Linked DNA regions of Arabidopsis thaliana. The protein of the gene in region 2 purifies or fractionates together with the protein of the main gene of each other region. This does not show direct contact. Each region holds a gene or a part of one and is shown on either strand. Other genes may lie near its edges.

Region 1 (9,174 bases), on a different chromosome or scaffold from region 2:
ACGTCCAACAGGACAGGCAAAAGCTGTGAAGGTGGTCTCAGGAATGGGAAATGAACCAAGAATCGGACCACTCCCAAACAAGATAGGCCTAATATACAATGTTCCTTTCCCCGGAGGAGGAATCTGCGTACATATATAAGAAAACCCCATTGATTATATCTTTCATTTTATAAGGTTTTATTATCTTGACGAATTCATACAACAATCAATATATATAATATACCCATTTCTTGTTGGCAAGAGCAACTTGTTTGATGGCGGAGACGAATTGATCGACCGAAGGATAAGGCATATAGAGTCTGTCAGCTCCGGCTTGAAGGCGGAGACCGTTTTGGTCTGGTCGGAATAGCAGAATCCGACCATCTTCTGTCCTGTAAGCTTTCAGTCCTTCATATAAACCCTAATCATTCCCAAACCACCATAAATATTCCAGTAAATTAGTATCAAACCATTACTTAAGAATTGTTGCGAAACTAGATCACATACAATGATTTGATAGGAATATCAATACTTTCATACTATTCGGTTCGTTGATATACATTAATACATATATGTACAACTATTTCATTTTTTCAATAGTTTATAGCTCAAATATGCATACAATATAGTTGCTAACTCAATAGTATACTATGTAATTATATTTATGATAATTAGCTCAATCATTTTATTATCAGTGAGAAAGCTATATATTCATGTGTTAATAGTTTTTTCTGTTTCATCTAATAACGATCTAGATTTATATTCATTCTTTTAAGTCATATATAACAAACCTGGCCATACTGAAGAACAGCAGCGCAAGGGTTAAGTTGCAAATCAGCAAAAGGAAGAATCTTCCCCTCTTGAAAACTCTCTCCATGATTGCACTTCGCAACATACATATAATCCGTACGAACAAACTTGAATGCCAACTCTTCCCACTTGACATTCGCATATTTTTCATCCGAAACACTGTAAATTTTGATAAATAAAAAAAAACAAAAAAAAGATCGCCAAATCATATTTCATACTATCAGATTTAAACAATATAATTTGTTCGACGATACAGAAATATTTTACCTCACAGGAAGAGGTTGCGCAGAAGGAGCCATGGATGTGTTTGTTCGAGTCGAGTTGCTTTGTTGTAAGTAGGTAATTGCAAGAAACTTGAGTTGTCTATAAAGCTTTGGAATACTTCTCTTTATATATACGTTTACAACAATTTTTTTTTTTTTTTTTTTTCTATTTTTACAACAAATTGTTTTTTATTATAATAATAAACTTAAACGAAAATAAATAATATCTCTTTGTTCTATTTCTTAAAAAAGAAATTAGCTTGTAGTACTTCAACGTATCTTAACTCTTTAGTCTTTAGTAGGTATATATCATCTATTTATTTATTTTTATTTTTTTTATATTACGATTATAGTGTACGTACGTATTTATTAATCAAAAATAACTTGGTAGAAGTAAAAAGAAAATGATTTTTTTTTTACTCAGTGATCAGTTTTACGTTTATTCAAAAATAAGTTGTAGTTTCCTTCTTAATATTCAAGTTATATGACTAAAAATTGGTCGGTTAATTTACTATTAAGATTAATCGGAAACTCTAGTTAGATCACGAGATAATCATCACGTGGAGAAACATTTGGTTCTTGTCACGTGGAGAAAACGTTAAGCTTATTTTTTACTTCTTTATTATATTTTTGAGGAAATGGTTGAAAGAAAGAGAGTGTTTAAAATGTGAATGCGCTCGTAGTTAGGTGGAGGTTAATGGGTAGGAGGGTAGGTCATATGTGTATTAGTGATGGATAAAAATTAAAAACATAAAAAAAACTTCAAGCTGTAAATAATCTAATAAAAGAACATAGAAATATAATCAAAGAACCATTTAACTAAATAAATACTTTCGATTCAAATAGCATATTTCTAAGTTCCAAGAATAGCTATCCTCTATCCACATGTTACATTTTTTTTTTCTTTTTCACATCCATATAGTTTTTAAAATAATTTTCTAGATGGTATTTTTTATTCGACATTTTTTTTTCCTTTTAGATTTACTGATTATAATTTATTTAGAAATAAATGATACGACTGTCGTTTCTACAAAACTGAAATTTGCAAACATTGGACCAAAAAGCGAAACCTTAATCACTTGAAACGACAACGTTCTTTAGTATGTTTTTGGACATACAAAGTACACATAAGATGTTCCCTCACTCTTCGATTGTTTCTTAACCTAATATAATTAAGCAATATTGAACTTGAGTCACTCAATGCTGCACCGAAGGAGCCTTTAGATTTTGAGCAAATTCATGAGAGTTTAGCTTCTCATTCATCACTCTGAATTTCTCTTTTATCCTCTTTATCTGTCCAAAACATGACACATAACATAATGTTAGTTCTCCTGCATACTTCCAATGGCAAATAGAAAAAAGAGACATTGATCATAGAAGTCAGTTTGGTTTACCCTTCTGAGCTCGATCTCTGTGCTCCGTTTCTTTTGATCAAGTGATTGCCGGAGATTCGTGATGTCGAAGATACTATCGAGGTCGTCTTCAAATGCGTTTTCCAACTCTTCCCGGAGAAGAGCAGGTAACTTATCAACGATGGGCATTAGAAGAAAACAGTTGAACTGCAGAACAAAAGAAAACACAGATACAAACTTTTTAAAAGAAAAGTCATTTTAAAAGCAAGAAGAATCTGAGTAAAAACTGAAGTAGGAGCAAACCTTTAACTCAGCAGAGGCGAGAAAGTACTCTCGTATGCCCTGGAATATCTGTTGGACCAATGCGTACACAATTCTCTCAGAGGAAGGAGCAAGCTTGCGGTTCCAAAGTGTGCTATCTAGAAGATCAGCCAACCGCATTTCTGTTGTCTGAATACTGGAACCTGAATCGATGTTTGAGGCGAGATGGCTTAGCTTTACATCTGATCTTGACTTGGTGTCTGTTGTGCCACCTAATGCATCTTGGGGAAGACTAAATCCTATGGCATTACCTGATGTCGTATTATGCTCTGTTCCACCAAATGAGTCCAAGAATTGACGTAGACCAGCTCGGTTCTACATAACATTGAGAAACGAAAACTACTCAATCAGAAACGGATACTTGATGGTATGTACACAACTCAATTGGATTGAAACAGAGCTATAGGGCTGTAGCAATGACCTTGTTGTGAAGAGACCATGTAACATAGCGAGTTGTACTTGCTAAATCCTCCATACATCTGCAAACAATATAAAATCCAAAGGGTGATCAATCACTAAAGCTCACTAGAACACAGGTAGGAGGCACCGACATGGTAAGAACAGGAATTGGAAATAGAATTACTTGTCACGACATGATTTTTCTGTGGACTCCACAAAACTGTTGAATGCTGAAGCAACCCGCTTGAGAAACACCTCATGCCCACTTAAATATTCACCTTCTTTCTATTCAAATTTAGAACATACATCAAAAAATTTGCTGGAAAGGGATCATGAGTATGATACCGTCAAACCAAAGAAAACAGTACCTACCTGAAGAAGATATACAGAAATTGGAAGCAATCTCTTGAGAATGTGTAGAAGCCTCGCCCCTAACTATATCAACGCAAAACAAACGAAAATGAGAACTGGAAAAAACTTTCTGTATGGAAAGAGAAACATGTGAATAACAAAATTTCAGATGAAAGTATTCCCAAACATAGTTTCTGTAAGCAGAACATGTTTACTCGATAACTCTTATGCACAAATAAGTTCCAGCAAATCTCAAAACTGAATGGTAGTATGATTTCAATATATAACGTTATATTTCATTTTTTTTTTTACGTACAGTACACCTTAACTAATTAGTAAAATTGCTTTCCATCCTCCACGAAAGAAAAAGAAAAAAGTAGCTATATCTATGTCACCTGATGAAGGAAAGGTTCAAACGTCTCACGAGCCTTCGCAACTGCTATAACACAAGCTGTTCTACAACAGCAAATAAGAGAAAGAGAATAAGAGGCCATAGAAAACATGACAAACGTTGCAGCTCAGATTAGATACTGAAAGGGGTCTGGGATGCAAAGACAATAAATTGAGAAGTGTGTTGCATGTCAGTCAATCCTATGATACCTGGAATAGTTTGTTCCATCATGAATATCCTCAACTCCACATGCATTTACAATTTCCTCCCTCGTTATTGGGGGACATTTGATAGCACCAACTAGAAAACGAAACTCAGCCATGGCACGGTGATATTGTGCACCCCCATAGAGACGCATCCCTGCATTCTGTAAAATGAAAGATAATCTGGTTATGGTCTCTCATAATTCTTGAAGGTCCAACGAAGTATCTCTTTTATTTGTTTCCAATACATTATTCTTTGGCACATATGTTTCATGCGGTCAAATTTATCTTCCATCATATTATAATCCATGTACAAGAACAAGACAACTGGATTTGAAGACCATGCCCAGCTTGCTCTATAAAGTCCAACAATATTCTGCTTCAGGGAAAGACTTACCGGTATTAGCTTATGTGAAAACTGGAGACCATCAGTACCAACAAATGCTCCTCCTTGTGTCCTTTCATCTTGCAGTGTCTCACCTGAAAAACACCATGAGAAATTATTAACAATCAAAGAACCCAACATAAAGAGAATGCTGTTATAAAATGTGCTTCTGCCAGTAACCAAAGTATCATGACCAATGATTGATTGATTAGCATACATCATTCCATGTGTAATCATCGCAGTCTGGTGACCCAGTCGAATTGAACAATATGCATTTAACTAAACTGATTTTGCAAAAGTCCAATTTAACAACACCCAGAAACAAGAAAAGTTTATGCCAAAGAAGTTGACTAGCAGAGAACAGAGCAGTAACATTACCAAATTTATCTGGAGGGGCCACAACTGTTCCCTTCAATAACAGCGATAACTGATCAAGAAAAATATAAACAAAACAGGTGAGAAAACACAGCACTGATCAATACTAACAAAGGTACTTCGTACGTCAATCAGAAAATATGACGCAGCAATTTTAAAGTCTTAAGGGCATCCAACACAAAAAGTTTACAGCCATTCTGAATTTGTAGCAAGTCCTAGATATCATTTACTGTAGCATAATTTTATATGTGTCAGTAATCAATAAACAAATTTGTTTTTATGTGTCAGTAGTTAATAAACCAAAAAAAAAGAGAAGTTTACACAAATGAACTTGTTGTAATTATACAAAAACTATTAATCCACGAGTCCAGGCAAAAATGAAAAGGTATGGGAAGGTGTAAATAGAAATCTAAAAAAACGAAATGCTCTCTACAGTTACCTTGGTTAAGAAGAGATCATGGAAAGTCCTGCCTCTCTCTTTGAGTTTTGCTTCATCCAAAGAGCTGCATTGAAAGGAATTATTCAACCTCCAATGAGTTATATTTTCTATAAATCAGTAGCTAACAATTAAACTGCCTAAAATCAAGTAGACATTTTCAGACAAAACAAATTGCGACCTAAGTTCCTTGCTCACGGTATCCAGCTTTCTGACTGTACTGCGGTACTCCTTTCCTAACAGTGGAATGATCAATGGAACACTCTCTTTGTACCTGGAAAGAGAAGGGCATCAAGACTACAGCGAAAAGTAAACTACAATAGAAACAGAGGCTGGAAAAATCAGAGTTAAAACAACAGTTATACCTTTTCCAGAGTAGTTCTTCCAGAAACAACCTCAGTTTACTGATGCCAATCCTACTCTTTTCCTGTTTTGTCAGTAAACGGCCCAACTTCTTCTCTAAAGATGCAATGTCTTCCATTTCTCTAAGTGACACAGCCTGTAATAAAAACCACACATAGTTTAGAAAAAGACCTGTTTAACTTGTTTAAGGAATCAGACAGCAGAGCAGAGACCTGTTTGAACTCGTCATTAGACTTATACACTGAATCCTGTCCATAGCCAACTCTTCCAGAAGGCACAGACGTGAAAAAAGGAGAATCGCCCAATAAGGAGCTGTCAAGTGCGCTTGCAGGAGGTGAGAGAAAGACTTCCACGTCAGATGAACATGAGAATTGAGGGATTTTAGTGTCAAGCTTTGTAGAAACAACAATTGTCCTAGAAAGCTCAGGATCAACCTACATGAACGAGAAACAAACTTTAACAAAAATAAAGACAAGGTTAGACGCAATGGAGTTACGTCAAGCAACGTACTTGCATCACTATCCTTCGAGTGGTTGCAATGCTCCAGTCACTGCTATCTTCGAGGCATAAAATGATGAACTCTTTGTGTTGCATCTTTGCTCGGACTAGAGCTTCCACAGCCCGTGCTTGAACCTAAGAAAAAGAACAAGTAACCCACTCTCAAATAAAGCAAAACCAAAACATGAAATCAGCCACGGAATTGGCTGGAAGCCATAAGAAAAAACAACCTGAAGAGCTCGGTTTTTCAGTCCTGGTGCAGGAGCAATAAGTCCAGGTGTATCAATGATGGTAAGGTTTGGACAATACTTATACTGGACTTTCACAATAATCTCCTTTGCAGAGAATGGGCTACATGGCTCTTGCTCCAGCCTCATGTTCTCAGCCTCAATATATGCCTAACTCCAAATCATATAACAAATTTCGTTAACATGAGCATTTCGCTTCTCTACAATAAACCTAAGTACTTGTGTTTCTCAACATTCGTCAAAATCTTCCCAGAATTTATACGCAGAAACAAGCAATTGAAGAAGCACAAGTAATAATAATAACAAAACACCTGAATTTGTGAGAGAGATTTGGGAAGAGAAACGGAAGGATCATCATCAGATCCGAGATGACAAAGCGGGAATTGACACTGAGGATCGTACTTCATATGGAGAGTAATCGGCCGACGAGTCTTGGTTCCGCCGCCGACATGGTTAAATTGAAACCCCATAAGAGCTTCCACAAGCGCACTTTTACCGTCGGTCTGCTGTCCCACCACAAGAACCGCCGGTGCTTCGAACGGCGTCTCCAATTCCTGCGCCAAAGCGTGTAACTCGTTGTAAGCTTCGTAAAGACTCCACCGCTCCTCAATCGCAGCGTCGTCCTCTTCCGCCATTTCCTCAACCGTCACCGATTTTGCTGATACTTCCGCCATCGTCTCTTACGAAAATGAGCAAGAGGAAGAGTAAGAGTAAGAGAGTGTCTCTTATTTCTTCTACTCTTTAGTTTTCGTCGCCGTTCCTTTTTCCGCCATGGAATTAGCAGATACGGCTAATTTCAATTTTTGTCAAAAGAAATATTTTTTGTGTTTTAATCTCACGCGCATCCATGGCGCGTTGAGTCAACGTTGTAATAGTTCTCCGCTAAATTTAAATAAAAGAGCGCGTAAGGAGAGAGTTTAAGGATTTTTTTTTTTTGGTCGGCAAATACAAAGGATTTGCTTTGTCTTGACCAATAGTATATGCAGAAATATTATCTCAAAGGATTTGTGATAACTATGTAGTACAGAATTGTGATTATTGGATGAGAAACCAGAAATATTTTGAGCAAATGACGACTTGTTAATTTACTATTTTTTCATTTCTTAAAGGTCTCTCTTGTGTAACTATGATTAAAATTGAAATAGTGACTTTTATTGTTACGACATGGAACAAATCAACGAGTTCTATTGTTAAAGAGAGACATTGATGAATGTAACAAAACTGTGGCTTAGAAGCCGAAAGGAGACTTAGTTCGGGTCCCTCCTTCACCGTATTGCTCGTTCCATTTTCTCAATTCGTTCATTGTCGTCGCGTCGTATGCCACTGACGGACTTACCTGCAAATTACATTACAATGACGCAATTTCGATAATGCAAACACCAGGGGAAAAAACATGAATAGAGATGATGATGATGTTTTTTAAGAGATTGATCAATACCTTAGCTTTGGATTGAATGAAGTCGTCCAAACTCAGTGGTCGTAGATCAGGGGACGCATTTGTTACCGAGTCCTGATAATTCGACGTTTCAAAAGCATGGAGTGAGTACAAAAATTATTTTTCGTAACAACAGAAATCAACTGTGTGGGTTTATGCATGTCCTTACCTTGTTTTCTTCTTGTAACAATTCTTGAACAGGTCTGTATGCAGCTGCTATGCATAGATTCTGCAATGTAAGAAAAGAAAAGGAATCAGAACTACTGTGTTGAATCATACTCGAACTTGTAAATGAAACCCCGAATGACCAAACCTTTAGATCGCTTCCTGAATATCCTTCGGTTTCCTTTGCAAGTTTATCAAACTCGAAACCAGTTTCAAGATTTTCTGGTGTCAGAAATATCTTCAATATCTTCAACCGGTTTTCCGCATCTGGTAAATCCACATATATCCTATAAACACAAGCCTCAATACAATTATCGAAAAGATACAAATATTCCAAAGGAGAAATTACTTGAAAGCTTAAATTACCGTCTTGGTAGCCTACGAATGACAGCGTCATCAAGATCAAAAGGTCGGTTGGTGGCACCGAGAATGAGAATCCTTTGGCTATCTTTTGATCTGAGTCCATCCCAAGCTGCCATAAACTCATTTCTCATTCTTCGTGTTGCCTCGTGCTCAAAAGCACCACCACGAGCACCCAACAAACTGTCAACCTATACGACAACAAAATAAATTACAGTTAGTCCTTGAGTAACACATTTTACGCATCACAAAAGTATTCCTCATAAAAAGCAATAACCGAAATTGAAAAGTGATATAAAGCTAAACAATTTCTCACCTCATCAACAAATATAATGACGGGGGCTAGTTTGCTTGCAAAAGAGAACAAAGCCTTCGTGAGCTTCTCTGCATCTCCAAACCACTGTGCCAAACAATGGACGAAATTGACTTAAATCAGAACCAATCAGAGGTAAAGTTGGAAAGAGATTTACTCTAAGTTACAATCGGCATTGACAATAATAAGTCGATGACCGGGGTGGAAAAGTTTTTCTTATGTCATTAGATATTCTCCTTATTTATATGAAGATGTTTACAAAGTGGAATATCAACGTGACAGTGCAAACAACATAGTTTTAAGGTTCCATGTACCTTTGAGGTAAGCGTTGAGCCAGTTATGCTAATGAAGTTTGCCCCAGCTTCTGTTGCAAGCGCCTTGGCAAGCAGCGTTTTACCCGTACCCGGAGGACCAAAAAGCAATATGCCTTTACATGGCTGGAAAAAACAAAGACACACGCATTCAAGAAAACCCAGACGAGAAAATTCCAAGTCCATAGTCAAGAACATAATGACATGTATATAACA
Region 2 (7,166 bases):
TAAAGTCTTCAATGTCAAGAATCAGAGGAACAGAGTTAACAGAGGATGATCTGGGTCCTCTTGCTCTGATTCCTTCTGTCATCTGATAAAATGGAAAATTCAAAGAATTGAAGAATCAAGTCTGACAGATCATATATGAAACATTCAATAAATAGCAGAAAGAGATGCGTATGATTCTGGATTCTTCAATGATACTACACTAGCGTAAATCTTCTAAGTTAAGTCATCACCGGTAATCGCTGTTTACTCCGCCGAATGCAACAAAATTTAGAACCTATAGATGACCAATCGCGCACACGGGAAAGGAAAAATGTAATATGGAGCAACTTACCGGCGATGAACGGAGAGATCTAGCCGGAGGAATCCGGTAACTGCAGGGAGAAAAAGACGGAGAAAAGAGAGACGGTCTTCAATGGCGGACTTTTCACAACTATGAGCTCCCTCCTGATGAGCTGTTAATTTTATTTTATACGAGTTTTTTTTTCCTAAACCGGCCGGTTAACGAATTTGATCAACTGTTAATTTGTTAATTTTTTTCTAAGGCAAAAATATTTGTGTTCGTGTTTACAGTTAGCTTTTGTGTTATGGGATGCAATAATATTCCTTATGAAAACTTAATTCCTGAAAAAATAACGGCAAAGTCATATACATAAAGGGGTGGCGTTAACAGAGAGAGTTTCAGATTAACATAGAGCAAAAACAATCAATGAGCCGTTTGAAACATTTTCTGGTCTCTTCAAAGCATTGTAACATCATTACCAACTCTTATAAATTAAGAGTGCTCAAAGCAATGGAAGCAATATCCAACAAGTGATTAATCTGAGTCAAAGATATCTTACGCAGAAACAGAAAAAACAAAATGGCCACCATTGTTTCTCCTCCACATTTCTCCCCTGTCGAAGACGCTGAAAACATCAAGGCGGCTTGTCAAGGTTCTACTTTTCTTTGGATTAGTGTTTCAAAACTTATGTGGTTCATCAAGTTTCTTGCTATCTCCTTTACTCCTCTTCTTTATTTCTATTTGGCGTTTTAGGATGGGGAACCAATGAAAATGCCATCATCTCGATCTTAGGACACCGGAATTTGTTCCAGAGGAAGCTCATAAGACAAGCTTACCAGGAGATTTACCATGAGGATCTCATTCACCAGCTCAAATCTGAGCTCTCTGGCAATTTTGAGGTTTAGATTTTATATATCTCCTCCATGTGCTCTACTCTACTCTATTTCAATAATCCACAAAAGATAAATATATTTGTTACCTGCAGAGAGCTATTTGCTTGTGGGTCTTGGATCCTCCAGAGAGAGATGCTCTCTTGGCTAACTTGGCTCTTCAAAAGCCTATTCCTGACTACAAGGTTCTTGTCGAAATTGCCTGCATGAGATCCCCTGAAGATATGTTAGCTGCTAGACGTGCTTACCGTTGCCTCTACAAGCATTCTCTTGAGGAAGACTTGGCCTCCCGTACTATTGGCGACATCAGGAGAGTAAGTAATTTTAAATTTCCAGATAGTTTCTTCTAGTTTTGACTGATCTTCAACGCTTGGGCGTTTCTTGATATATACAGCTCTTGGTTGCAATGGTGTCTGCTTATAAATATGATGGAGAAGAAATTGATGAGATGCTGGCGCAATCAGAGGCTGCGATTCTTCATGATGAAATCCTTGGTAAGGCTGTTGATCACGAAGAAACGATCAGGGTGTTAAGTACAAGGAGCAGCATGCAGCTTAGCGCAATCTTCAACCGCTACAAGGATATATATGGCACATCGATCACTAAGGTATACAAACAAAAAAATGAACATCAAGTTATGTTATAACTGATCTGTGACAAAGCAATCAATTGGAAATTTCTAGACAACAATACAGCAGTCATACCAGTTTTTCTTCATGACAATGTTCTTTTTGCTGTCCTTAATGAAACATTTGATGACCAGGATCTCCTCAATCACCCTACAAATGAGTACCTGAGTGCACTACGTGCAGCCATCAGGTGCATCAAAAACCCTACCCGGTATTATGCAAAGGTAGGATGCAACAATATTGTTTAGATGTGTTCTCTAAATTATCCCAATAAAACTAACTGGTATTCATATGGTTAATCCCTAATGCACGTAGGTTTTGCGCAATTCAATCAACACGGTGGGGACTGATGAAGATGCTCTGAACCGTGTGATTGTCACACGAGCAGAAAAGGACCTGACGAATATAACTGGGCTGTACTTTAAGAGGAACAATGTGAGTCTCGATCAAGCTATAGCAAAAGAGACATCAGGGGACTACAAGGCCTTTCTTCTAGCTTTGCTAGGACATGGAAAACAACTTTAGAGTTCATCCTCAACTTAACACCTTAAAACAGTTGCATCTCTTCTAATTTTCTAGTATGGAATAAAACTATATTTAACGCTGAAGTAATAATAAAGTTTTCTGTTTGATGCTTCCTCAATCAGTTCTGTTGTTTAGCTTTTCATAGTAAAACAGGAATTACATAATTTTCCTTAATAAAGACATTCTTTGAAGGACACAAAGAAACTAAACAGACTCACTGAAAATAAGGGAAACATGTACATGTATGGGTTCTTTCCTCCTTAGCTGCGTAATATGGCTGCAGCAATACCAGCAACAACCCCTACAGCAGTAACAGCAATTCCAACGCCAATCACACCATCTGATTTCAAAAATCAAAAGAGAGTTAAGAAAAAGCAGCTGAAGATTCTAATGGACGATGTGTGGACAGTTGACACAATAGTACCTTTCACAATACGGTCCTCTATAGCCTTTTTGAGTGCCTGAGCCTGTCCGGACTCCGGTTCAACCTAAAACCACAGAAAGAAAAAGAAGGCATTGTAGAATACATCAACAATAAGATATTCAGGAGTTATCCATGGAACAGATGATCAAACCTCCAAACACCGTTCTATACAATCCCGGCTTCTTGAAAAGTCACCGCTTCGATAGTAACCAAGAGCAAGGAGATATAGCTTCTCCCTAAGTTTCATTGCACTTGTATCATTAACCACCAAAGCTGCGAAAACAAAGCAAAACACTTTGCTAAGATCAAACCAGTCATATGGATCAAAGCATCCACCTTTTGGAAGAACAATAGGCAGCTGAAGATTCCATAGAAAGTGTGAACATAAGCTATTACCTTCAAGCATTGCAATCCCACGCTGAATATCCGAAGGCATCTTTGAATGAACAAGAGCCCATGAAAGACGCATAATGCATTCCTTCTTACGTCCTTCGTCTTGAGCCTCTGCAAGTTCTTTCTCACATCCCTGAGAACGATGTCAATTCCTTACAAAATTATGTATGCATGCCAAAATTCAGGCCAAACACAAAAAAATTCTTTACAAGGACAAGCAACGCAAGAGAATCCAAAATCCGATGAAGGAGATATTAAAACAATTGGAAATTTGTGATTCGAGGTTCCTGTGCGTGTCAAGTTGAGGAACATAAAAGGTGGTGAATCATAAAACTTACGGAGATGATGTCGGAATCGCACAAGGGAAACTCATCGGCGGAAGCAGAAGCAGCGCCGGAGAAGAAGTCTGAGACGGAATCGAAAACCTTCCCTATCGCCGCGTCCATTTTTCCTGTCGCAGCTTCAAGATATTTCAGAGTATTCTTCTCGTTGGCTTTGACGATGATCCTCCCCTTGTGCTCAGCTATTTTTCTTTGACGAAGACCAGTCCAGAAATTTGACGGCAATAAAATTTTTGCGTAAATTTAGAGATTTTTTAAATTAATTTAGAATTTTAGGTGGATATTGTTATTAATTTATTATCATATTAATGTTTTCTTTATAAAGATAATATTGGTTTAACAAAAAAAAAAAAAAAATTGACAGAGTGAATTGCAAAACAAACATTTGATAAAATAATTAACAAACTAACACTATAATTTTAAAAATGTAGTAACTAACTATAAAGGGTAATTATTGACCAAATTGGTTTTGGTGGAGGTGATAGTGACTGGACGCGGTGGTGGCCGGAGGTGGTGGTGGTCAGAGATGGTGGTGGCCGGAAGTGGTTGTGATTGAGAATGATGGTGGCCGAGGGTAGTGGCCGGAATTTGTGGTGGCCGGAGGTGGTTATGGCTGGAAGTGGTGGTAGCCGAAGGTTGTGGTGGTCGGAAATAGTGGCCGGAGGTGATGGTGGCCGGACGTGGTGGTGAACGGTGGTGGTGACTGGACGTTGTCGTGGACGAAGGTGGTGGCCGGAGGTGGTGGTGGCCAAAAGTGGTAATAGTGATGGTTTTTAAAAGGATAAAAATGTATTGATATATATTATACTCACAATATCATATAATTTTTTTTTTTGGTTAGTTATCTAATTTATAAATTTTTGTATGTTATATTAATTTCTCTTTCTCAAACCTTTTTTTTACTAGGAATTGTATTGATAATCAAAATATAAATCCAAACTCTATTTCATATTAATGATATTTACCTTTTAGCAAAAACAAAAACATCAAATCTTCATGAGTTTTTATACTAATTTGTCCATCATGCATTCATTCCGTCATGCTTTATCTCCACTAGGAATTTTTAGTTAGGAGAAATTGCAGATTGGTTAGAGAATGACATTCGAGAGTAAGATTGGTGGATATATATACTTTCGAAACTAACAAAGAGAGTATTTATCGAATATTGACAAACATGAACAAACTAGCACAAATGTACCTCTAAAAAGAGAATAAGATGAAAAAACAAAATTAGGACAACATTTCCATGTGTCAAATCTTTATTGTAGTTGTATACAAATGTGTTTCTTAGAATAATATTTTGAAATTATACAACACATATATTAACATAAAATATCCATTAATTATAACATAAATTATATCAACAAATTTAACATTTTAGTTAATAATATTTACCAATTTTTATTTATTTTACTTATATATTTATATAAATTAAATTATTTGAATACTTGGAAAATAATAAACTGTACATCAAGAAATCAATCACACATGTAATGACATAGTTGTAACTTGTTAGTTAGAGTACCAATTCATATAAATAAGGTAAAAAAACAGGCAAACATATCACAATATACATATCACACATCCTTTGACCATAAATAAGAAAAAAAGGTGAAAAAAAAAGAGTAGTGTGGGAGGGGGGAGAGAGAGAGAGAGAGATGGCCTTCTCTTCCTAACATTGACCAACCCGTCTTTGTTTCTTCTCATCATCACTGAGAGAATTCGTTAAGACGTTTCGTTTCTCTGTAGAAGAAGAATTCTCTTTCTACTTTTTTTTCTTTGCTTCCGAGAATTAAGAAGAGAGAGAATCTCTGTCCTTGTCTCTCTCTCCTTGCACGTTGCAAGCGTTTCTAGAATAAAGTGAAAACCCAGCGCTTCTCCTTTTTTTTTTGCAATCCAGAGAGACTTTGGCTATGGGTTTTCTTTGATTCGCTTGTATCGTGAAGCGAGAGCAAGCTTTTGTAGCAATGGAGCTGGTTGGTAAAGTCGTTAGGAAGGAGATCCAAGGGATTGGGTTTTGCTCCGGGACGGTTCGATCTCGCGATTCGTCTGGATTTTTCGAGATCGTTTATGAGAACGGTGTTACGGAGATTTCGGAATTGGATGAGGTTGTTGCTCTCGTGATGGGAGATGGTAAATCTCAGGAGAATTCGGTTCCAGTGAAGAAGAAGAGAGTTGGTAGGAAGCCGAAGAAACGGTCTCGTGTTGCGAGGGTGGTTGAGATCAAGCGAGAGAGCTCTGGGTTGAATGAGGTAAATGTCGATTTAAATGATGGAGTTGCGGAGAATTCGGGAGTTAGTGAGGAGAATTTGAGAGGGAATGTTGATTTGAATTGTGGTCCTGTGGAAACCCTAGGTAGGACATGGGACTCCTCTGTCACGGATTTGAATAGGACGGTGTCGGAATCGGAAACTGGATTTGATTTGACTACTGGGTTGGATTGGAATTCGAATGAAAATCTAGGTTTGGTTAATGTAAATATCGATTATGAAGAAAATTGTAGTGACAAACGGAAGTGGGATATTGATCTGAACATGGATGCGAGCTGTGATTTGGACAATGCTGCTATCTGTGATTTCAGTGGGCAGAAGAGGGAGGTAGGATTTGATTTGAACGTGGAGGTTGATGTAGAGAACAGCAAGGATGAGGAGTACAGTCAAATGAATGGAAATGACATTGTTCAAGAAATCAACATGCAGGACGGAAATGGTGCCCAGGATAATATTGAGACTGGGGAATATAAAGAAGTTCATGTTGCTGAAGTGTCCAGCGCTGAGCTTTTGGAGGAGATACAGAAGCAGAACATTGTTTCACCGCAAGATCTCAAGAATCTTAATTCTAATGGGGTTGAGAAGGATCCTGATCTACCTCATCATGATGCTAAGACTGTTGATGAGACTCTCTCTGATAGGGGAAATTCAGGTGAATATACAAGTGGTAGGAGGAAAAGAAGAAAAGCTTCTGACAATCCAAAATTCATGAGTGAACCTCAGTTGAGAAGAAGCGCTCGTAGAAGGTTAGCTCGATCGCCTGTCAGTAGTACTGTAACAGCTTGCTTTGTTGAGGAAGTATCCCCTTCTCCTTCAATTAGTAGTCTGACAGAGGAGAAAACTTGGATTGTTGATGGAAAAGCTGATAATATTTCTGCACTCCCGCCAAAGCCACAATTACCTCCATCCTCCCCTATTTTGGATTTAGACGGTCTTCCTGTACTTGATGTCTTTACTGCTTACTCTTGTCTGAGGTCCTTCAGTACTTTGCTGTTTTTGAGTCCTTTTGAGCTGAAGGATTTTGTGGAAGCATTGAGGTGCATGTCTCCTAGTCTATTATTTGATAGCATCCATGTTTCTGTCTTGCAAATATTAAGAAAACATTTGAAACAACTCGCTGCTGAAGGTGACCTATCTGCGTCTGCTTGTCTGAGGTATACTTTTTATTTTTCTTTCTTTAGTACTTTAGTTTTACTGCTGTTTTATGGATATAAAGCTTCTCCTGTTTTGGTTCTGATGCTTTGCTGGTGGTATCTTGAATGCAGGAGTCTTGATTGGGATACGTTGGATGTGGTTACATATCCCCTTTTTGTGGTTGAATACCTACTATGTTCTGGGTCCAAAGACAACCCTGGATTGGATCTTACTCGGCTGAACTTTTTCAGAAACGATTATTTCAGACAACCCGTGAATC

What was found.
Region 1: the proteins of FIS1B (region 2) and ARC5 purify together in Arabidopsis thaliana (affinity purification with western blotting, with the first as the bait; one study listed by BioGRID). This does not show direct contact.

The regions. Positions count from the first base shown.
Region 1 is NC_003074.8:6,848,342-6,857,515, forward strand, and holds ARC5 (P-loop containing nucleoside triphosphate hydrolases superfamily protein), read right to left. Parts: upstream 7,250-9,174; 5' UTR 7,049-7,249; coding exon 6,686-7,048; intron 6,525-6,685; coding exon 6,357-6,524; intron 6,262-6,356; coding exon 6,139-6,261; intron 6,063-6,138; coding exon 5,841-6,062; intron 5,765-5,840; coding exon 5,631-5,764; intron 5,540-5,630; coding exon 5,447-5,539; coding exon of another isoform or gene 5,432-5,446; intron 5,333-5,431; coding exon 5,269-5,332; intron 4,882-5,268; coding exon 4,833-4,881; coding exon of another isoform or gene 4,740-4,832; intron 4,550-4,739; coding exon 4,467-4,549; intron 4,234-4,466; coding exon 4,076-4,233; intron 3,932-4,075; coding exon 3,871-3,931; intron 3,560-3,870; coding exon 3,497-3,559; intron 3,410-3,496; coding exon 3,309-3,409; intron 3,205-3,308; coding exon 3,147-3,204; intron 3,041-3,146; coding exon 2,708-3,040; intron 2,612-2,707; coding exon 2,447-2,611; intron 2,346-2,446; coding exon 2,250-2,345; 3' UTR 2,017-2,249; downstream 1-2,016. Other genes in the region: BCAT4 (branched-chain aminotransferase4), read right to left, coding at 1-123, 224-400, 771-948, 1,057-1,088; AT3G19740 (P-loop containing nucleoside triphosphate hydrolases superfamily protein), read right to left, coding at 7,603-7,710, 7,813-7,884, 7,979-8,038, 8,123-8,261, 8,341-8,525, 8,651-8,734, 8,962-9,084. UniProt on the Arabidopsis thaliana protein: Mechanochemical GTPase component of both plastid and peroxisome division machinery. Required for the last steps of plastid division specifically in mesophyll-cell, when the narrow isthmus breaks, facilitating the separation of the daughter plastids.
Region 2 is NC_003076.8:4,008,364-4,015,529, forward strand, and holds FIS1B (Tetratricopeptide repeat (TPR)-like superfamily protein), read right to left. Parts: upstream 3,772-7,166; 5' UTR 3,588-3,771; coding exon 3,480-3,587; intron 3,479-3,479; exon of another isoform or gene 3,275-3,478; coding exon 3,145-3,274; intron 3,022-3,144; coding exon 2,900-3,021; intron 2,813-2,899; coding exon 2,749-2,812; intron 2,665-2,748; coding exon 2,585-2,664; 3' UTR 2,325-2,584; coding exon of another isoform or gene 2,115-2,324; 3' UTR 2,080-2,114; downstream 1-2,079. Other genes in the region: exocyst complex component sec10, read right to left, coding at 1-82; ANNAT8 (annexin 8), read left to right, coding at 860-932, 1,034-1,179, 1,266-1,484, 1,565-1,777, 1,934-2,023, 2,115-2,324; AT5G12400 (PHD-finger and DNA binding domain-containing protein), read left to right, coding at 5,450-6,906, 7,018-7,166. UniProt on the Arabidopsis thaliana protein: Component of the peroxisomal and mitochondrial division machineries. Plays a role in promoting the fission of mitochondria and peroxisomes.